3 linked regions of the Rhinolophus ferrumequinum genome follow. The protein of the gene in region 3 interacts with the protein of the main gene of each other region in a pairwise test. Links are inferred from orthologs where the notes say so. Each region holds a gene or a part of one and is shown on either strand. Other genes may lie near its edges.

Region 1 (7,566 bases), on a different chromosome or scaffold from region 3:
GCTGAGGTTTTCTCCCAGCGGTGCTGGGGAGCCATAGAGGGCTGGGAGCAGAGGAAGGGGCCGGGGCAGCGGGTACCCAGTGGGAAACTGACTGGAAGGGAGAAACAGGCGGATGGCGCAAGGGTCCAGGTGGGAACAAGGGGCGGGGATGGGGCAGTCAGGGCCAATTGACCCAGAAGGTCTGACTTGGTGGCAACACATCTAGTGAGGTGTGTGACAATAAAGGGAGCAGGACTGCAAGAGCCAGAGGAGGATGCTGATATGAAGAGAGGCAGGCGGTGCACTGGAAGGAAGCAGCCTCCCAGGCTGAGATGGGGTCCCCGGCGGTCCCAGACCTGACGTTGTGTTTCGAGATCTGCCTTGTTCCCGACCAGCACGATGGGGAAGTCGTCGCGGTCCTTGACTCGGAGGATCTGCGTGAAGAGCTTGCTCACCTCATTGAAACTGCAGATGAAGCGAGAGGCGTGAGGTTCAGCAGCTCAGCCGCGGTCCCCACTGCTTTGCCACCTCCCGGCTCCTCTCACCTCTGCCGGTCGTTAATGGCAAACACTAGCAGGAAACCGTGCCCAGCGCGCATGTACTGCTCCCGCATGGCGCCGAACTCCTCCTGACCCGCAGTGTCCAGGACTGCAGAGGGGGGGAGAGGGCTGCTGTGGGGACCGAGATCTCCCTAGACACCCCCACCCTCCCCCACCCACTCCCTGCCACCCTCACTGTCCAGCCGGGCGGGGATGCCATCCACGGTGCAGATCTTTGTGTAGGAGTCTTCGATGGTGGGGTCGTAGTCAGACACGAAGTAGGACTGGTAGGGTGAGGAGAGGACACTTACTGTAGTGCCCCAGCAGAAATGGCATAGCCCTGCCCCTGGGGTCCACCTTTCTCTGCCCATCCTCTCTGAACCTGAATCTCTCTCTCTGGCTCTCTGTCCCGCCCCCTCCCCCCAGCCGCGTCCCTAAGGCTCTCCTGGTCCTCTCTGGTATAAAGTATATCTCCAGCAGAAATGGCATAGCCCTGCCCCTGGGGTCCACCTTTCTCTGCCCATCCTCTCTGAACCTGAATCTCTCTCTCTGGCTCTCTGTCCCGCCCCCTCCCCCCAGCCGCGTCCCTAAGGCTCTCCTGGTCCTCTCTGGTATAAAGTATATCTCCCAAATCGTTATTATGTCCTGGATGTGTGGCATTGAACAAATCGCTTCCCCTCTCTTGGACCTGTTTCCTCATTTGGAAAATGAGGGTAAATATAGCACTACACTTAATCCAGTGTTTGTGAGATTCAGGGAAAAATCCATTTGACATCTACGCATTTAACACATTCCCTGGACATAGTATTCGCTCAGTTACTGGGAACCAGACTATCTGCCTGTCTACTTCTCTCCCTCCCCCCTTTTCTCTTCCCTCTTTTTTCCCCCTCCTCCTTCCCCCCCCCCCTCCTTGGGCGGCTTTTAGTGTCTCCTCCCAGGGGAAGGTCCCAATTCCAATCCAACTGTGGAGAAACTGCCCCGCCCTAAGGCTGGGCCCCTCCCTTCCTGCGTCCCGCCCGCCTCCAGCCAGGCCTTTGGACAGCTTCAGGTCTGCCCCTAGGGACAGGGGCCTAGGGACGGGGGGCCTTTCTCTACACAGACAAGGGCTGCCATGCAGGCCTGGCTGGGGTCTCTTAATGGGTCTGGGACCCAAGGGCCTCTGCAGTAGCGTCTCAGGAGCAGACACCTTTCTAGGGTTTCTCTGAGGTGGGAGGGTGTTCCCCTTGGGAATGGGGTGGAGGTTTCCTGGGCAGGGGTGGATTTTAAGTGGAGAAGGGGAGATATGGTAGTTGGGGGTCTGAGGGCTGCATCCAGTCTTCTGGAGGTGTGCTTGTTGAGGCTTGTGCTGGAGGGAGGGTGTAGGGACCAGGCCCTGGGGGAATTAGGGGTGTGTATTCAGAGCACCTCAGGAGAAGGTCAGGTGTGTCTAGAGTCTTAGAGACCCTGACAGGCATTTATGGGGTCAGAGACACTCCCAAGGAGTGGATCTTTCTGGGGATATCAAGAATCTGGGGGCTTCTTCCATGGAGATTTGGGGGCTAACCAGAGTTTCTGAGAGGGGCTCAGAGAGTTGGAATGGAGGAGAACTCAAGATGGAGGAGTGGTTGGTTTTCCTTGGGGGAGGGTAGAGGTCTGGGTCTGGTAGGATGGGGGAGCCACAAGACTTGGGGGTCTTACAGTTCTCTGGAAGAGCCAACTGGCAGGATCTATTTGAACTCTCCTAGGGTCTGAGGGTGCCTCTTTTAGAGTGGTCCCAGATTGGCCTCAGGAACAGTCTGGGCATAATTTCTAGATTCAGGGAGGTCTCTGAAGGAGCTAAGCATCCAGACTGGAATCATCTCAAGGGCTTTGGGCACAGGCTTTCTCCTAAGTTAGGCTCTGGGTGGCTCAGAAGGGAAGCTGGAGCCTAGGATTTGGGGGAGATGGGACTCAGGGTGAGGGAAAGTGGCACCTACGGGCGGACACACGAGAGTGTTTAAGGTCAGAATGTGGTGACATGGATTTAGGATGCTCCCAGGAGGTGATCTGGGTCAGGTCAGCAGGGAAGGGGGGTTCTGGCAGGAGGGACGGTGGGTCTCAGGATGAGTATAGGAGGAAGGTCCCTCATGTAGGGGGTGGAGGTCCTGGGGCGCTCAGGGTCACGATCTGAGGGGAATTTTTAAGATTAGAGGGCCTCATAGGAGGGTCTCAGTGATGGATGGAGGGGGAAATCGGGGTCTCAGGGATCCCCCCCAAGGGCTACGTTCTGGGTCCCGGGGACACCCCCCGGGTGAGGGCCCACTACCTGGATGAACTGGATGGTCAGCGCACTCTTGCCCACGCCGCCGCCGCCCACGACCACCAGCTTGTGTGTCTCGCTGGGTGGGGGGTCCCCAGGTCCCGGCCCCCCGCCCCGGGGCCGCCCCCGCCCCGTCCCGGACGCCGCCCCGCTGCTCATGTCGCCACCGCTGCCGCCGCCGCCGCTACCGCCTGGGGGGAGCCGGGCGGGGCCTAGGGGCGGGCCACGCTAATAAGGCTACTGCATAATCATGAGCTCCGGCAAGAAGGGCACAAGTCTCGGAACACTTGAGGAGGTAAGGCCAGGGAAAAGGAGGAGCTATGCTAATAAAGGCAGGGGAACGACGTTCGCCACTAAGGGGAATTCCGAAAGGGGTGGGGATATGCTAATGAGAGAACTGTGCTTACCCAGAGCTGCTCCACGCGCTCTGGGCAGGCGGGCCGTTTGGGGGCGTGGCTATGCTAATAAGAGCTCATTCTTTCGGCAGACAGGTCGGGAAGATTATTCGGGGAGGGGATATGCAAATGAAGAATCCTGTGAAGCAGCTTCTCAGGGCACTTTCCCCAAGGCCTTGTTCTAGTAGGCGGGGCTCGCCGACTCGCGCGCGGCCGTATATAGGCGCGCTCCGAGGAAGTGAGCAGGTCCTGAGGGGAAGCTCCACCTCCGTCCTGGGATCTGAGCCAAACTGCCGACCCGGGCGTTTGGGCTGGATGTTGGAGTCTCCGCCCGCTAAGGGACCCAGGCTTCCGGTTGCCGCAGTCCCAGCCAAGCGGAAGACAGACTGGGAGGGGAGTTGGGGCCCTGGAGGGGGACAGCCGGGTAACGGGGCAGGGAGGGGCCGTGAGATCACTGCATTCCTAATCCATGAGCCAGCTCGCCCAAGCCGGGACGCCTGGGTCATGAAGGGCCTAGAGCCAGGATTTCTGGATCTTTGAAGAAGGAAACTCCGTAGGAGAGAACTGGTCTGGAGACCTGGAGTTCCGTATCCCGGAGGGGAGGAGATCTGGGGGTCCTTACTATTAGGACTACCCGTTTCGTAAAGGAGGGAGCTGGAAGTCCAGATTCTTGGGTCCCGGGGTTCGAGGCTCTGGGAACCCAGAATTCTGGATCTCGAGGGAATTGGTGTGGGGAACCCGAACACTTGTGTTCATGTAAAGTACGAGCTTAAGACCAGAAATGGTCTGAGGGAGGAAAAGCCTGAGGGCCCAACTCCTGGATATAAGGAAGGAGGAGGGAAATGGGAGTCTGGACTCCTCTGCCAAGTGAGAGGAATCGGAATTTGGACTTTTCGGACCTAAATGAAGGAGGCTGTGGGGCAGGGCTTCTTGGTTCTAAATTTAGAGGGGACTGGGGGGGATCGGGATTCTGGGATCCCCACAATGTGGGCGGGACAATTCCCAGGCAGGACAGCTTTTTTTTTCCACTACTTACTCCGCGGAACTACAATTCCCTTGCATCTGTCCGGCTGAGTGCTCTTTACGTCACGTCCTGTTCCGCAGCTCTTTCCGCGCGTACGCATGGAATTGTGGGGCCTCATCGCGGGCTACTGCAACCACGCCCACTTCACCTCTCACCTCCTTGCTGCGCCCGCGTGACGGAGGCGACGCGCGGACTACGCCTCCCGGCGCACCCCTGCCCGTGTGGCCCGTTGACTTCTGGGAAACTGAGTCCGGAGCCTTCCCACCAGCCTTCACGGCACCGTGCTCGGTACTTGAAGTCCCGGCAAGCTCGGCGGCGTTTTAGCTCCGCCCCTCTCCTCCCTCCGCTAGCGAACCCCCCGCCCCAGCCCGCCCCGCCCCGCGCCGGGGCCGGAGCCGCAGCCCGAGCGGCGGGGTAAGATGGCGGCGGTGGTCCGGACCGCGGGGCTCAGGCCTATTGGGGTGGGCGGGGCGGAGTCGGGTCGCTAGTAGTCCTGGGGTCCTCTCCAACACGCCACAGGGTCTGGAGGACTTAGCGGGGTGGCCTCTGGCCCGGCAGCGGCGGCGGAACCTGGCGCCGAACGGGGGGCCTTCTCAAGGCCCTGGGACGTGTCTCTGGGTGCCGGGGGCCACCTACGGAGCATCCCCGGGAGAACTGGGAACGTCCACAGGGTCTGGACCGAAGCTGGCGCCTGCCCTCCATCATATAGCCGGCTTGGGTCATCTCTGTAGGCACTGTTGATCGTCTTTATGGGTTGACCGGAGGCTAGGGTCTGTTCATAGGGTTCTGGGGCCAACCTGAGATCTTGAGATATATCCCAGGGGTGAAGGAGGTTTGCAAGAGCTGAGGAGTTTCTGCAGAGCCATCTATAGCGCCTGGGGTATGTTTGTTGGGGCTGGGAAGTGTCTACATGGGCTGACGTGAGGATGCCACTCAGCTACCTGGGTCCGGGGCCGTTTAGCGGGCCTGAAAGAACTTCCTGGGTTAGAAAGTCTTTTAGAGGTGGGATGTGCTCACCAAGGGAGGGAGGCAAATATTGAGATGTGCTGAGAGGTCTCCATCATCTGGGAGGTGTTTAATCTGGGTGACAGGGGGCTGGGGCAGTTAAAAGGACCTGAAATCATCTAGGTGGCTTTGAGTGTGCCTGCAGCAAATTCGAATGCCGTTTGGGGCCATATAATCAGATGGAGAATAAGACAAAGGAGAGTATTGGAAAATTTGCTGAGCTCAAGTGTATTTGCACTTTAGAAGGTAATTGAGATGAAAAATATTTTAAAATTTTGTGTTGCCCTGGTGTTATGGCAAGAGTTCGAATTAGCTTACATTAGTCTGGGAAAGTTTATAGAATCATCTAGTACAATGCTTTTTAAGCTCTTTTGACCTTGATCTATAGCAAGAAAATATACATTTTTCATTGAGGCCCAGTACCCACCGACATGTATTTAAGTTAATACCCATGTCCCATTAATTGATATTTCCACTTACTACTTGCGATGTATTATGAATAATTTTCAGCATCTGATTTACTTTTTATAACAAGCTATTTGTGAAGCAATATACTGCTGTCAGACTCTGTAGTTTGAGAATGACTGATCTAGAGAGATCTAGCAATGTCTGCAGGGCCTTCTCATATGGAAAAGACCCAAGGAGCCTTGGGTGTATCTGCAGAGCCTGGGGCATGTCTGCGTGGGCAAGGGAGCATCTTCATACCTGCTGAGGGTTTGGGATCTGTGTGTTTGTAGTCAGACCTTGGTTAAGCTTCTGTTATGTGACAGTCACTGTAATTTGCGCTTTCTACCCCCACCCTGCCCCCAGGTGCTGGTGAGCAGCTCCAGGGCTGGAACTGTCCTTAGGGCCTTATCAGGGTGGGTGTCAATGCGAGTTAGGGAAGGAACCTCAGGCTCTTAGAGAGCTGGGAGGCTGCATGGAGGAACTTTGGCAAAGCTTGAACATCTGGTCCAAGGGAGACCAGGACAGAGGACTTTTCTTTGCAGGTATACAGCTGGGGAAGTTGGGGAGACGGGGGGGGAAACCTGGGCCCTAAAGACTAATAACGATTATTATTATTACTCTGTATTGAGTACTGGGTTATGCTAACACTGTGGCAGAAGTGTCTCCTTTCAATTTCTCGCAGCCTTCCTCTGAGGTAGATACTCCAATTCTGCCACATACAGATAAGCACACTGAGTTGGGGGTTAGGGATTTGAAGCTTTCTAGAAACTTTGAGACTGGATATTGTTTCAGAGTAGCAGATTTGATGGTCGCTGGCAATCCCACAGCTGAAATATTCCTGTTGTTTGAAGCCCAATTAAGACAACCCCCAATCTGAAGGATGACCTTTCAACTTTAGTATAATCTATGAATTTTTGTGATATCGTAAAGGCTTTAGCCATGCTTCCACACAATGGGCAGACAGGACATAGGCAGATGTCCCCAGGGGTTCTGGTGAGCAGCACACCTTTCTGAAATTAGTGTTTTCATTTCAAAAGTGGCATGTTGGTTTTGTAAATCACGTTATCATGGGTCCACTTTCTATTGTATATATAAATAAATTGTTTCTCGTTCCTCACCATCGAGGAAGATTGATGCTTTAGGAAGTTGTGTCATATTTGAGATACACCCAGCACACTGGCGCATACCTCAGTTTGGGAAAGCTAGGTGTATGAGACTATGGAGCACACTATTTGAAATCACAACTCAACAGAAAAAAATCTTGGCATTGTGTTGGCTCCCATGAAAGTGGGCCAGTGAGGTCTTAAGTTTGGTTGTGGGGGAAACGGTGGGAACTGGGGGGTGGGGTGTTGAAATAGGCTGGGAGGGCCTCCCTTCCAACAGAGGAGGCAGCTGAAATCCAGACCAGGGGAGAGAATCGCTCTAGTCCCTCTGGTATCTGCATTGGACCCAGTACCCTCCCAAGGACCGGGATGAGTGGCGGAGAGGAGGGACACTGAAGAGGATGCTGATTGAGGCAATGGTGGAGGCCTTTGAGGTCTTTGTGTTCGTCCTCTGCTTCTGTCCCCTCCACACCCCACACCCCACCCCACAGCCCTGTTTGTCTGAACTCCAAACTCACCCCCTCAACTTCCAGGTGACCATGGAGGAAGAAGATGAGTCTCGAGGGAAAACAGAGGAGTCGGGTGAAGATCGGGGCGATGGTCCCCCGGACAGAGACCCTACGCTTTCTCCTACTGCCTTTATCCTGGTGAGGCTGCTAGACATCTGGGGCCAAGGGAGGAGGGGCTGGGAGTCTGGATTCCAGGGCCCGACTCCTGGGCCTTCGGGGGAGGCGGGGCTGGGAGCCTGCACTCTTGGCTCCTCTGAAGGGTTTGAGTTTGGCTGTAGGGTGTCTGG
Region 2 (7,174 bases), on a different chromosome or scaffold from region 3:
CTGGCAGGCGGCTGCGTGTGCTCAGCTGCAACCACCGCTTCCCCCAGGGTGTGCTGGGTATGCCGCTGTGGCTGGGGGCTCATTTTACTGGTTTCAGGGGTGACTGCCTCCCTCGACCCTGTCAAGCCCCAGGGAGAGCTGCGCCAAGCCCAGGTGCTGCTCCACGGGAGGGGCGGCCAGGCCTGGCCAGCTTTTCTCTCCAGGGGAGTCCAAGTTGAAGACTGTCAGGGACCCTACTGCCGTGCAGCAGCCCTGTCACTCACTCGGGCTACAAACTCGAGGTGGGGGGGGAGAGACTGGACAATAAAGGGGAACGACCACAGGGCCTGCCCCATACCTGGAACAACCCCAGGAGAGATCAGGGAGGTAAAGCTGAGTGAGGCAGGCGCAGGTAACTAGCTGCCTGCAGGGAAATAGATGAGATGAGACTGGGAAGGGAGAGCGAGGGCTGCCCAATGCAGATTAGGGAAGAGTGTCAGGTTTAGGGCTTTCCTGTCTGTGCTGGTACCAACAGAAGTATGGTTAAGAGGAGTGATGGGGAGGGCAACAGCTCTAGAAAAATGCTACCTGTGAGGAACATAAAAGATGGGGGAGATGTAGCCTGGGGAAACTGAGGCCCAGGCTATGAGGGGTGACTCTGCTTAAATGCCTATAGGGCTGTCACCCAGAAAAGAAAACAGCTTTGTTTGGTGAAGGACATGGGGACGTGGATTTCAGCTCAGTACAGGAGATGCCCTTCTAATCACTGGGGCTGACATAACGAGCTACTTTGTGAGGCAGAGACCCTGTCTCTAACAACGCTGAGCACTTCCAGGATGCAGAGAGGACCAGGCACATTGGGCACTGTAACTCTGCAGGCCTTGGATATGGGATGCCTGCCAGTGAGATGCCACTGGCAATATGGGCAACATCCTGCAGCCCTGTCTCCTGTCAACGAGGTCTGATTTTTCAGGCCTCCCACCTTTCGTCTGCTAGTTCGTGTCCTGAGTTACTCACCAGGGGCAGCTCTCCACCCGGCCGGCGTAGCTGATAGGTACCCTGCGGTAGTGGCACTAGGTTGTGGCTGGATAGAAACTGGACTCCACTGCCGAGGCATCTCTAATTGGGGGAGAAAAGAGAAAGATCCATTCTGATGAGAGGGTGACTAGAAAATAAGTATAGGCCACACTAAAAAAGCAGGGGTTGCTTTAGTCTCATTTGCCCATTTTTATTGCATGCCTGCCACATGCTAGACGCTCTACAATCTTCCCAAGTTCTGAGAAGCCAGTGGAATTTGGTGGAAAGATAAAACATGGAATCTCTACCTCCAGGGCCTATACCTACCCTCCTCCCTCTGAAGCTGGGGGATACCAGATGCGTCCCAGGAAATGGTAACCTATTGTGGAAGAAGGCTAAATGTGTCAGCTTAATTTAATCCCTTAGTCTGAAAATGGGCAGGCTGATCCTCGATGCCAGGGGCAAGCAGTCTTCTCTCATAAGCCCACCCCACTTCTGCTGGCCTTGTAAGACCAGAGACCTGGGCTTTCAGAGGTAAACATTGATAACTTTTTGTCCTAGGCACAACCCTGGAATAAACCTACCATGTCCTGGTCTAGGGTTGGGCTGCAAGCACGGCCACTTAGGGAGTCACTGGGGCAAAGATGTTGCCAACCTCATGTGAACGGCATTTCTTCTACCAAATAATGAACTGAAGCTCCATGAAAGAAGGGCCTGTGCAGGTCCTGTTCAATGCTGCACTCTAGCATCCAGCACGGAGCCAGACGCCTTGATGTCAAAAACCTGATAGAACCACTCTTCCATTTCCACATTCCCTGGGCCATTCCTCTGCATTCCATGCTTCCTGTCTCCAGAAACCCTAGGCAACATCCCAAACTTACACAGATACCACCATCTCCTACAGCTACTCAAGTGTAACTCTTGGGCGTTTAAACAACTTGTTTTACTTCTCTAAATGCCTACACCCATTGGAGCCACTGACTTCAGTAACAGTCTGAAATGGAAGGAGATGGCTGTCTAACTTGGGAGAGAAATTCCATAGCAGAACCAAACCTGAGGGTAACTCCCCCTTGGTGTTGTCCAAATCCAAAAACGTGTAAATTCAACCTCTAAACCGTGACTCAAAAGACAGGCAGCCAAGAAAAAAAATCAATCCAGGATCAAAGACACCTTCTTTCTCCCGACACTCAGATTCCAATGAAATATTTCCCTTCCTCCAGAGTCTGGCTCTGGAGTCAGCCACCCCACTAACTCTGAGACTATGGGCAGGTTGCTTGAAAAGGTTGTCTCATTTCCTAACCTGTGAAATAGCGGCCGCAGCAGCAACATAAAGTACTACGTTCTGCGTGAGCTTTACACGCCTTGACTCCCACCGTCCCTCTGAGCCCAGCCCTTAGCAAGAGCCAGAGTTACCTCCCGCACTTTCACACAGACGTACAGGAGAGGCAATGCAGGAAATGCTCTCGACAGAGGCCCTGGCATATAAACGTGAGCCATGCCTGTCACGGTTTTTTGCCTTCTCGGTACTTTTTCTCCACTGGGCGCCAAGGCCACCCTTCACTCCGCGGTGCACGTGGGGTCTCACCAGGAGGCGAGGGACGCCGATCCGCTCCCTGCCCAGCCCCACGCAATACCGCCCCTGCCCGGCACGCTCGGCGTCGGCGCTCAGGCCTCGCTCCGGGTCGCCTGCCCCAGCCTCAGCTGACTCAACGAGCCAACCCCAAGCCTCTCGCCGAGCGCAGGGCAGGGCCGAGGGGGCCAAAGGCGTGAGGAGAAAGCCCTGGAGGTCGCGGGCCCAGAGGTCCCTAGGCCGGTCACCCTCCCAACTCCCCCTTGGCACCCCGGCCCCACAGGTCCGCTCACCCGCGGGCAGCGGCACCAGCCTCCCCGCAGCGCCGCTGCCGCCATGTTGGAGGATCCCGTGTGACCTTCTTTCGGCGCGGCCCGATGGCGTCATCCTTCGCGTCTCCGCCGAGCGCCAGGGGCCTGGGAAAAGCGGGACCGCGGCACCCGGTTGAGGAGAGAAAAGGCCTCTGATTGGACAGAACTCCCCAGGGAGGCAGGGCCTTGGGGCGGTCTGCTATAGGGGCGGGGCCTGATTAGGGGGCGGGGAATTCCTAGAGAGCTAGGCCTCTGATAGGACAGGATTTTGGAAGAGCGGACCTCTGACTCGAACTCCTGTGAGGTAGAGACCTAAAATTGGATACTACTACAGAGGGGCGGAGCCTGAGGGCGTGGATTCCCTCGCGAGCAGTGCTTCCCCTACAGAACACGCGCGGTTCTTTCTGGTGGCGGGAAGGACGAGCAGGCCGAACGACCTATCACAAGTACGGATTCAGTTGGATTCTGACTCATTGACCAGCGAACCAGCCCGATCGTGATTGACTCTAGCTCTCACTGACAGTGACAGACTGACAATGACCGACAGACGGGCAACTGTGTTGCTCCAAGAGCAAGAGCGAGTGAGCTCTTTTGTACACTTTGGGAAGGCGCCTGATGGTTTTGGTCCAGAACAGGAAGGGGACGCTGAGACCAGGTTGAGTGTGGGCCACCCCTCCATCGATTCAGTGCGAATTAACATACCTTGCCCTGAAGAATCTCGGGCCTCTGTCCTTTCAGCACCCAAGTACTATTTTCCATTTAGAGAATGCCGCCACCAAGTGGCGGTACCTTGACGTGGCCACGCTATCGGAGGCTGGGAAGAGGGAGGGGTGGTCCCTTGGGAGAGTTAATGTATGTATGTTGTGTTTGCCCAATGGAAGCATTTGCATTATTAAGTTGTGATAAGGTCTATGGGACTTGAAAGAGGTAACCTACACATTCTGGCTTCAGGGTTGGATAGATCTGCGTTTTCTGTCCCTCAGGAGATTCACCTCAAGGTAGGAGCAAGGCATGAAGGCTCTACTCTGGCTTTGTTTGAAATCCCTTCACTCCAAGAGGAGCAAACTAGTTACATGGTTGGGATATACAGGTTTGTTGTTGAGAAGAAAGTCTGGGCTTCTTAGTTGTAGTTGGTGTTAGGTCTCTGAATGTTAGAGACCTTGACTTAATGTTAGGTCTCTGAATGTTAGGTCTCAGACACCTTCACTTGCAGACAGAGCCATGTCTGCAAGAAAACAACAAAATATCTGTTAGCCTGCACCTGCAGACAGAGCCAAACTTGCGATAACAGAAAACGCCACAAACCAGCTACTGGCTTACAGGCAGTGAGCATTTTCTGCTCAAACAATGCTACCCTGTCAGCACCGCCCCTACATAACCCTCCTCACCCCCTCCCTTGGGGCTACAAATCTCCTTTAGACAGGCAGCCTGGGCTATAGCCATCTTTGCTCAGCCCGACAGACTTTCTCTTAATAAACTTTCTTAACGTGCCTGACCATACACGGTCCTTTATCGGCCGACCTATCAGTTGGGACCATGGAGGTGGACAAGGGCACCCAAGAAGAATGTGTCAAACAGGCACATCAAAGGCCCAAAGGTAAAGTTGAGGATGAAGAGCCTTTAAAGGAGACTGGACAGGACTGGTCAACAGGTAGGAAGAGAACCTGGAGGGCCTTGGAGAAGGCGATGGAGTAATCAGTGTTGAATGCTGCAGAGGGCTCAGGCAAGACAGGTGAGGCCAGAACTGTATCCGTCATTTTTGCATTTTACAATATTGAGGGCTTGGGGGGACAAGCAAGAGGGTTTGGGTTGAATGGTGTCTGTGGAAGTCAGATTTCAGTGGGTTGAGATTTTTTTTTTTACAGGGGTGTGTTGGAGCCAGTGTGTACTGGCTGGTGAAAGCCAACTGTCAAATTTTTAGGAATTTTGAGCCAGTTGCTAAACACAGCCATTATTTAAAAATGGATTGTATAACCTTATGATCAAATGGATTATATTAAGACAAAGGTAATAAATACTCAAAACTCAACACTTCCTAATTATTTTACTACATGTTACTATCTGTGCTGCTGAGGTTATTCACATATATCACATCTGTGCTCTGGAAATACTATATGATATGAGCTGCTGCACTGCATACTGAGTCTGTGTTTAAAGACACCACATCAGTAGTTTGAAATTGGCCATAGTGGGAGTATTTACACCACAGGAATTGACAAACACTATAGGTCAGGAGCTTTTTGGTTTGTTTGGAGGGACAGTTATTAAACAATTAATCAGCACATAGAGGGAGTGCCCAGAGACTCCTCTGAGGAATATCTGCTGTGAGCGAAAGGTGAATGACGACAGCTTGGAGAAACAAGTGTGGAAGAGTGAGGGTGGTTTGATTGTTTGTTTTTCCCAACTTTTTATTTTTATTTATTTATTTATTTATTTTTAAAGATTTTATTGGGGAAGGGGAACAGGACTTTATTGGGGAACAGTGTGTACTTCCAGGCCTGTTTTCCAAGTCAAGTTGTTGTCCTTTCAATCTTAGTTGTGGAGGGTGCCGTTCAGCTTCAAGTTGTTGTCCTTTCAGTCTTAGTTGTGTCGGGCGCAGCTCAGCTCCAGGTCCAGTTGCTGTTGCTAGTTGCAGGGGGCGCAGCCCACCATCCCTTGCGGGAGTCAAACCGGCAACCTTGTGGTTGAGAGGACGCGCTCCAACCAACTGAGCCATCCGGGAGCTCAGCAGCAGCTCAGCTCAAGGTGCCGTGTTCAATCTTAGTTGCAGGGGGCAGAGCCCACCATCCCTTGAGGGAGTCAAGAAATTGAACTGGCAACCTTGTGGTTGAGAGCCCACTGGCCCATGTGGGAATCGAACTGGCAGCCTTCGGAGTTAGGAGCATGGAGCTCTAACCGCCTGAGCCGCCAGGCCGGCCCATCAACTTTTTATTTTGAAAAGCTTCAAAGCTGCAAAAAAGTTGCAAGAATACTATAATCAAAACTTATATACTCTTCATGTAGATTCATTTTGCCTCACTTGCTGTAGCATTCTCTCTCTAATATACATACGAGGTCTGAACTCATCCTAGAAAAAGTGCTCCACACCTCATTGCTGAATATCACTACGGCCACCTTCCAAGTCCTCCTCTTGGGAAGCTGTGCACGGACGCTTCGCCTGGTCCACCCTTCAAAGCAATTTTGGAACTCTTTTTCTGGAATGGCCATCAGAGCTGTCGTCGTATTACCCTTGATGTCCTGAATGTCATCAAAATGTCTTCCTTGCAATGTTTCCTTTATCTTTGAGTAAAGAAAGAAGTCATTGGGGGCCAGATCAAGTGAGTAGGGAGGGTGTTCCAATACAGTTATTTGTTTCCTGGCTAAAAACTCCCTCACAGACAGTGCCGTGAACTGGTGCATTGTCGTGATGCAAGAGCCATAAATTGTTGGCGAAAAGTTCAGGTTGTCTAACTTTTCTGCGCAGCCTTTTCAGCACTTCCAATAGTAAACTTGGTTAACTGTTTATCTAGTTGGTTCAAATTCATAATGAATAATCCCTCTGATATCAAAAAAGGTTAGTCACATCATTGCAACAAGTTTGCGAACTTAATTGTCAGACTGCATGCATGTGTGCCTGTGTATGTGTGTATACATACATACATACATACATACATACATACAGGGGGTGTCAAAAAATGTATACACATTTTAAGAAAGGAAAAAACTATATTAAAATTACACTGATGGTAACCACTTCGAGCACCTCTTGTAATTGCAGAAGTCAAACGTGACTTGTATTCATCTCTGTTATTGGTATACATATATTGAGTATTACAATTTTAATACAGTTTTCCTTTCTTAAAATGTGTACACATTTTTTGGTACTATATATATATAGTGCACTATATATATTATATATTATATATATTATATGGCTATATATATATTTATATATATATATCCAAACAAACAAATATGTATAAAAATATACACAGATGGTTCTCAACTTATGATGGTCCAACTTAGGATTTTTCGACTTTACAATGGTGCGAAAGCCATACACATTTAGTAGAAACCGTACTTCGAATTTGGAATTTGGATCTTTTCCCGGGCTAGCGACAGGCAGTGCGATACTCTCCCATGACGCTGAGCAGTGGCAGCAGTGAGACAACTGTGCCCAGCAGTGTCTGAGCACTTTTACGGAGGCTGGGCTACCTGTGGTGTTCGGTAGGTGAGTGTATCAGATGCGTTTTCCACTTGCGGCATCCTTAATTTATGATGGGTTTATCGGGACATAACCTGTCGTAAGTGGAGGAGC
Region 3 (7,414 bases):
ACGGCCCAGAGCCCACGTCCTCTGCGTAGCTATTGGTCTGCCAGTGGCTCCTCGGAGTCTCAAAGTCCAGTCTCTTCTCGTTCTAAATGCTAGGGTGAAGTAGAGCCTATCAATGCCCGTGGCATCCCAAAGCCCGCCCTCCACTGCATCGCTATTGGGTGACCTCGCTGCCTGTCCGGGGCCTGGAACACTGAATGTCTCACTCCAAACCGCAGCGGGGGCCTAGCGGAGCGGATAGTTGAGGCTTCTCAGTTGGGCCAGTGAGGCACTCAGTTTTGTCTCGGTCTGTGCGTGGTCATCTCTCCCGACACGGGTAGCTAGCGGAGCGGGAGGCTGTGCGATGGGCTGTCGGACGTGGCGTTCTGCAGGCGGCGGCAGGGAGAGCGAGGGTGGTGAAGTTGGGAAATGGGAGTGGCTGGTTTAGAGAGCCTCAGGCACGCTGGACTGCTGGGGCGGAGCCAAGATTCCTTACAGAGGGGCGTGCCCCTGGCCTACACCCTTGTTCAAACACTTTTTACCAAACTTGAAATGCTGGAGTTCTCTCTCCTCTGTCCTTCCGGTTAGGGCAGCCTGAACCTCAATTGGATCAACTGTGAAATGGGTAGGGTTACAACAGTGGTTGGTGAACACTTCAGATTTTGTATGTTTTTCAGACATATTTCAAAGAATTGAAAATCAACAATTATAAAAACCAACAACCATTTTAAAATCTTTTAAAATTTCTAGGTGGATAATTTCGAGGGGAATGTCAGAAAAAACAATCAGCTAGTTCAGGTTTTAATTTTTGTTTTAATATATGGTGCGCTTGATGGTTTTTAATGTGATGATGATGATGATGATAAAAACCCAAGTCACTTTAAAGGCCTTCATGACTTGTTAAGTACCTGTGAAGTACTTGGCTGAAGTCGTGCCAGTTGGGATGGGTTTGGAGTGAGTCCCTAAGGGAGAAAGCTTTGTCCTTGAGTGAGCCATGACCCTCTTCCATCCTCCATCCCTCCTTTCTGGCACAGCATGTCGAATTTTGCTTACCTTTTTGTAAATGTTGTGCAACGGAGCCAGAAGTCTGTCTTCAAATACTGCCTAGAAATTAAAGTTCTAAAATAAATTAAATAATATTCAAATGAAATGAAATTTAAAATGCACTCCCCACCCCTGACATTATTCTTCCTTTTGGAGAGCGTTTTGGAGCCCCTCACTGAGCTCCAACAGGAGTTGTTTCTGACCCCATGTGGTGCCAGGGCTGCACCACTGGGAGATGGGGATGCCGGCTCTAGGGCTTCGAATCAGAAAAGAGAATTAAAAAAAAAACAACTCTAATCACTAAGAATTTGTAAGAATTCAACATGTTTAAAATTATGTTTGAAGCCCCCTTTTTTGCCATGCTCTTTTAAATTGAGGTATATTTTACATACAATAAAGTGTACCCATTTTCAGTATAGAGTTTGATGAATTTTGATAAATGAATACTGAACTGTCCAGTCACCTCCAAAAGTTCCTTCATGCCCTTCTCAGTCATTCTCCCACAAGACAACTACTCTGCTTTCCTTCACTATAGATTAATTTTGCCTGGCTTAGATGTTCATACAGATGGAATAATACAGTATTTATCTTTTGTGTCTGGCTTCTTTCACTCGATCTTATGTCTGTAAGATAGACACATGAAGTAGTTTGTTGCCTTTCATTGCTGAGTAGTGTGAAAAGTAATATAAATGGAGCCACTTTAAAATGGAGTCAGAGCTGCTATCCCAGAGGAACTGCCTTGCACATCTTCCGCCTCAAACCTATGGGATGCATAAACTGGGCAAAATAACCTTTGGACTGGACCTAAAGCAGCATGGAATCCCCAAAAAACTGTTTGCAAAGATAACAAGAAAGCAGATAATATGACTAATGGACTGAAAAGTTCAAAACATTCTTTAGCACTAGCATCACTGTTAGCTTATTCTCACTTACAGAAATGCCTTCCTTCTATTGATGTAATTGTTCCCCATCGCTTTCTCATAAATACTTCTTGCCTTGCCTCCTAATGGGAACACTATTTGGGTTTCTGCCTGAATCAGTGCTTTCCAAATAGCTCTTCTTTGGATCTCAAATAAATGCTCATTGCCTCTCACTTTGGCCTTCTAATTTTAGGTTAACAGTAGTATTCCAGGATCCCATTTTTGTGTTTCTTGGTCAATTCTTTTGTTGCTGGACACCTGGTCTGTTTGCAGTTTTTTTTTTTGCTATTATGAATAAAGCTAATATGAATATTGGAGTATAAATTTTTGTGTGGGTACATTGCAGTAGCATGCTGTGGCTGGCTCACCAGAGCCAATTTTGCAAATCTCAACTCTGGTTCAATGGTGTCATATTAGTAGCTTGAAATAAGCCATGGTGGGAGTGTTTATGTCTTAGTTGGCAAACACTACAAATTAGAGCTTTTTTCCTGGACAGCTGGTTGTTAAACAGTTATGAGCACGCCATTGGACATGTTTTCATTTCTCTGGAGTAAATACTGAGAAATGAGACTGCTAGATTGCATGGTATGTATATGTCTAACTTTACATGAAGATGCCAAACTGTTTCCAAAGTGGTTGTACCATTCTACACTCCCAATGGCAATGCATGAAAGTTCCTATTGCTCCACATTCTCATAAATATGCGGTATTTATTCCGTCTTTTTCATTTTAGCCATTGAATGGTGAAGATCCTAATAGAAAAGAAACGATGGGAAATAGAGGTTATATGACAGCCTAGTAAGCAGAACTTTTGTCTCTCTCCTTATAGGCAGAGAAAGCACTTAATAAATACAAGTTGAAGTATGTTGAGGCCCCCTCACCTAATGACCTTTCTCTGATCCTTCCCACTTCATCAGAGGGATGCTGAGGCTCCAAACAGGAGAATGTAGTCACTTCAAACAACAGGCTGTTCAAAAAATTAAAAGTGAAATCTCGTGCCAACCGGTGAATCCTCCCCACAGAGGTAGAAAAGAATTAAATAGTTATACAGTAGTACCTCGGTTTTCAAACGTCTCTGTTGACGAACATTTCGATTTACAAATGCCATAAACCCGGAAGTAAATGCTTCGGTTTTCGAACACATCAAACATGTCACGCGGCTTCCTCTGAGTGCAGGATCCCGACACCTCGCTGTCGGCTCTTTACGAACGTTTCAGAACTCGAAGGGTCTTCCAGAACGGATTACATTAGAAAACCGAGGTAGCACTGTATTATCAAAAAGTGTTAAACCAGACTGCAATGTGCATCACAAGCAATTCGCTAAAGAGATTGCAAGGACAGTAAAACCTCATCCTTTAAATGGCTGGGGAGATACAAGCCATTACATACTTGTTCTCAAGAAAGGCAATAACTTGTCCTTAAGTAAGAGAACTTGACAGTACCTTTTGCTACACAGTTCATCTCAAATTCACCTGGTAACTGGGGTAGCCATCTGTCTTTATCCAAAGAAAAAAAATAAAACACCTATCTCTTTGACAAGCAGCTAACAACTTGGCGCCAGACGCCTAGGTCAAATTCCTACCTGACGGAGAAGGGGCGCTATCTTTGTTGATGTTTGCATTTCAAAGAGATGACTCCAAGGCCCCTAAGAACAACATCCTTGGGTTGTAAAACTGGCAGGAAGCCTATTTAGCTTGTAAAAAGATTTACATACATCTCGAGGGGACAAAAAAATTTACAAGTTTTCTAAAGGAAATGCTCTAAGAAAAGGGAGGGTGGAAAGTCTCTTTCACTTTTGACACCAGGTAAAAGTCATCTTCTAAAAAATTGTAATTACCCCTCAATTCCTCCATACATTTCCCTGCACTTGTGCCCCATTCCAGGTCCACACTTCCCTCCCCTCTTCACCTGGCCATCTATGACTAGCCTTACAAAATCCTTATCAACCCCATTCCTAAAGGACAGCTCTCAGAACAGCAGGCCACTCTTCCTAGTTCCAGACCCCCAGGCCGGCCACACTAGAGACCCGCTGTTATCTAAGGCTAGGACTTCAGTTTTTCAGAATTGGAAAACGTTGCTGATATTTGGTCTGATTCCAACCCATTTCAAAGACGGTAAAACGGAGACCCAGGAAACTCCCAAACGGCTACTTAGGCCTCCGGGTCACTGGAACAAAAAGGGGCATTTAAGGATTCTCCGCCCAGATTCAGGAAGCCCTAAAGTCAGACCCAACTGACCGAAAAAAAGCCCCACTTTATTCTGCCACGGTACGATTGGGTTAAAGCCCCTGGCACGCAGGTCTCTTGACTGCGCCTGCGCGACTCAGGACGTGCGAATTTGCCCCAGACCCAGACGTTTCAAGCAGCCCCTCCTAATCCGGAACAAGACCCACATTCCGCCTATCCTGCCTTGATAGGCGTGACCCTAATCCAATAAGGATAGAGGGCTGAGTCCTGTGGAGCCAATGGCGAAAGTCCGAGGGGCGGTGGAGGCGGACTCTATGAGGAAACAAGAAGACAGGCCCAAGATGGAGGCGGCTGCGGCCGTTGCAGCTTGACAGGTGAGGGCGGGCCCCGCAGGGTTAGGTTTCTGGAGCGACCGCCGGGCATGGGCAAGGAGCCGGGACCGAAAGCTTAGCTCCAGGGTGGCTGCGCCTGGGCCCCGGCGCCCCCTGCCCGGAACCGGAGGAGTGGTTTGACCCGGGGCGAGACCATCGGACAGCGGGGGGTAGTGGTGGGTAGACAGGAATAGGGGTGCAAGGCTGCGGGGGGATGGTTTCGCCCGTCGCGTGTGGTAGCACGCCTGCGCAGAGTTGGAAGGCACTCAGTAGGCGGGGCAGGGCTGAATTGGGCCTGGGCTGTGGTGTGTTGTTCCCAGATCCCCTGTAAACCTTCTTAAGGTATCTGATGACCCTTCTTTACCAACAGTGGGGAATGCATGGGGACGCGGCTCACTACTCGCTTGCTTCTTCTGGATCAGTGTCTGACCCACTAGGAGAATGTTTGAGGATTACCCCCTTACTCCTCCTTAACCCTCACCAGCCTCCTTCCATTATCACCAGAAATATGTCTGTCACCCCTTAGTTGTCAGCGAGAATTTTGGAGCCTCCCTGCTTTACCTCTATTCATCTCACCTCAACAATGACTAATGATTCACCATTACCCTCCTTTTCCCCATGACAGTGTCCGGTGACCACCTTATCCATTCTTCTCCCCATTACAGTCTCTAGTGACCTCTATTACATCTTCCTTCAGCATAATGTCTGCTGAGCCTTGTGATCTCCCGTCACAGTCTGGTGACTCCCATTAGCCACCTAACAGTGTTTGTGAGCCTGCCGTCATGGCAGGCCAGGGCTTAGGTAGGGATGCCCACAGTACCCTTAAGAACACTCTTTGGTGCAATTCCCATTTTCCCCAAACGAAGGGCAATAGCTGATGATCTTCCATTCATTCCCCTTCACTCTGTCTGTGACTCCTCCCTCAGCATAGTATCTGGTAACCCCCTTCTCCATTAAAAAGCCGGGACACTGTTCGTGTCCATTATGTACCTGACACACCCCAGTGCACCGTGTGCTGACTTCCCCATTAGCCCCCAGCACAGACTTTTGTACTCCTGTTCCCTCCAGGACAGTGTGTGCTGTCTCTCGTTGTGTCGTCCCACCCCCACCTGGCCCCATGCAGTGAATCCGAGATCTTGGCTGGGCTGAGCAGAGGAGGAACTGGATCGGCTTCAAAGTGTTAACAGGCTCCCTTGGGCTGCTGTGTGGAAATTAGGCTACTGGGCGTGACGTGGAGCCTGGAGGTTGAAATTCTTTTTGTTTCCTGCCACTGTGCTTCCAGACTATCATTACTGGACCTCTGAATTCCTCCTCTGTCTTCTAGGAGCCCCATGGCACCTGCCCAGCCCCGCCTCAGCCCATCTTGACAAAGTCCTAGGCTCCATGGAGCCACCACGGGGCCCCCCTGCCAACGGGGCCGAGCCGTCCCGGGCAGTGGGCACTGTCAAAGTGTACCTGCCCAACAAGCAACGCACAGTAGTGAGTCTGAAGGGAGCAAACCTGGTAGGGGTGTGGATGGACCCAGTTGTAAATCTTGGGTCAAAAGGGTAACTAGGGCTGGGAGGAGGCTTTGGCCGAGGGGTGGGAGAGTTAGTTGGGGCCCCTGTTGGGCACTGATCCCCCACATCTGCACAGGTGACTGTCCGGGATGGCATGAGTGTCTACGACTCTTTAGACAAGGCCCTGAAGGTGCGGGGTCTCAATCAGGATTGCTGCGTGGTCTACCGGCTCATCAAGGGGTAAGTGTGGCATACACCTCGTCCTCTGCCCACTGGGTGCCCAGCCTCCCAACTCCTCCTCAGCGTCATCCGACTCCTTCACTCTGTTGTGGAGTCTCCGTTAGTCTTGCCTTACTTAGTTCAGTGAATTTGTGAGTCCATCCAGCTTTTGTTTCGTTACTTCGTTAGTTCATTGGCCTGTCAGGTCAACATCTCACTCTCTCTTTGACCCCCAAGTCTTCACCCTGCTCCATCACCTCCTTCCAGAGTTCATCTCTTTTGTTCTTTCACTTTTTCATCAATTTGTTGGCTCTGTCCTACCTCCATTTTCCCATTATCTGTCTGCTGAGTTGGGCCTTCCATTTATTCTTCTGTTCTGAGGTTCCTTAATTTTTTTATTCAATTCACACATTGCTATGTATTTGTTGTTTTAATGCCTCATCGGCTGTTTTTTCTGGGGCTTCCTTAGCACTTCTGAGATTTAGTTGTTTAGTCACCATCTCATTTGCTTCTCACCTTGTGGTTAAGAGCATGGCCTCTTCACACTGTCCTGCTACTCATAGTCCCTTGTGGCTTTGGGCAAGTCACTTTATCCTTCTGAGCCTTAGCTTCCTTATCTGTAAAATGGGGGTAAGGATAATAACTAGTTCCTAGGGTTGCCGTGATGGGAATGAAACATGGTAGATATTGCTCCGTGGATGCAGACTTGGAGGTACCTTTAGGGGTTCCCTGCCTCCCCGAGGCCCTGTCCACCCTCCCACTCACTCCTTTCATACCTCCTGCAGGCGAAAGACAGTCACTTCCTGGGACACTGCCATTGCCCCCCTGGATGGCGAGGAGCTCATTGTGGAGGTCCTTGAAGATGTCCCACTGACCATGCACAATTTTGTGAGTGCAGGGGGGATAGTGGGTGCAGACCCTGGGCGTGGGGGGAGGGTCCTTGACCAGGCCTCACCCTTCCCTGCTTTGTGGTAGCAGGTACGGAAGACGTTCTTCAGCCTGGCGTTTTGTGACTTCTGCCTTAAGTTTCTCTTCCATGGCTTCCGCTGCCAAACCTGTGGCTACAAGTTCCACCAGCATTGTTCCTCCAAGGTCCCCACAGTCTGTGTAGACATGAGTACCAACCGCCGACAGTGAGCCTGGCCTGGGGTGGATGGGGGGATGGGGAGGACAGATGCCCAGCCACAAGGTTCTTACAG

Evidence for each region. The genes of interacting proteins can lie anywhere in the genome.
Region 1: the proteins of ARAF (region 3) and RRAS interact in a two-hybrid assay, tested with the Homo sapiens proteins (2 studies listed by BioGRID). The link is inferred for Rhinolophus ferrumequinum from reciprocal best matches to the Homo sapiens genes ARAF and RRAS.
Region 2: the proteins of ARAF (region 3) and TIMM44 interact in binary tests that used the Homo sapiens proteins (3 or more experiments, as listed by UniProt). The link is inferred for Rhinolophus ferrumequinum from reciprocal best matches to the Homo sapiens genes ARAF and TIMM44.

What each region holds. Positions count from the first base shown.
Region 1 is NC_046298.1:44,726,026-44,733,591, forward strand, and holds the start of RRAS (ras-related protein R-Ras), read right to left. Parts: upstream 3,001-7,566; 5' UTR 2,956-3,000; coding exon 2,803-2,955; intron 803-2,802; coding exon 715-802; intron 628-714; coding exon 525-627; intron 445-524; coding exon 336-444; intron 1-335. Other genes in the region: SCAF1 (splicing factor, arginine/serine-rich 19), read left to right, coding at 7,172-7,204, 7,304-7,417. UniProt on the Homo sapiens protein: GTP-binding protein with GTPase activity, likely involved in the regulation of MAPK signaling pathway and thereby controlling multiple cellular processes. Regulates the organization of the actin cytoskeleton.
Region 2 is NC_046301.1:56,910,654-56,917,827, forward strand, and holds the start of TIMM44 (mitochondrial import inner membrane translocase subunit TIM44), read right to left. Parts: upstream 3,001-7,174; 5' UTR 2,905-3,000; coding exon 2,860-2,904; intron 1,099-2,859; coding exon 997-1,098; intron 1-996. UniProt on the Homo sapiens protein: Essential component of the PAM complex, a complex required for the translocation of transit peptide-containing proteins from the inner membrane into the mitochondrial matrix in an ATP-dependent manner.
Region 3 is NC_046284.1:86,427,609-86,435,022, reverse strand, and holds the start of ARAF (serine/threonine-protein kinase A-Raf), read left to right. Parts: upstream 1-4,408; 5' UTR 4,409-4,500; intron 4,501-5,821; 5' UTR 5,822-5,880; coding exon 5,881-5,976; intron 5,977-6,132; coding exon 6,133-6,236; intron 6,237-7,000; coding exon 7,001-7,103; intron 7,104-7,193; coding exon 7,194-7,348; intron 7,349-7,414. UniProt on the Homo sapiens protein: Involved in the transduction of mitogenic signals from the cell membrane to the nucleus. May also regulate the TOR signaling cascade. Phosphorylates PFKFB2.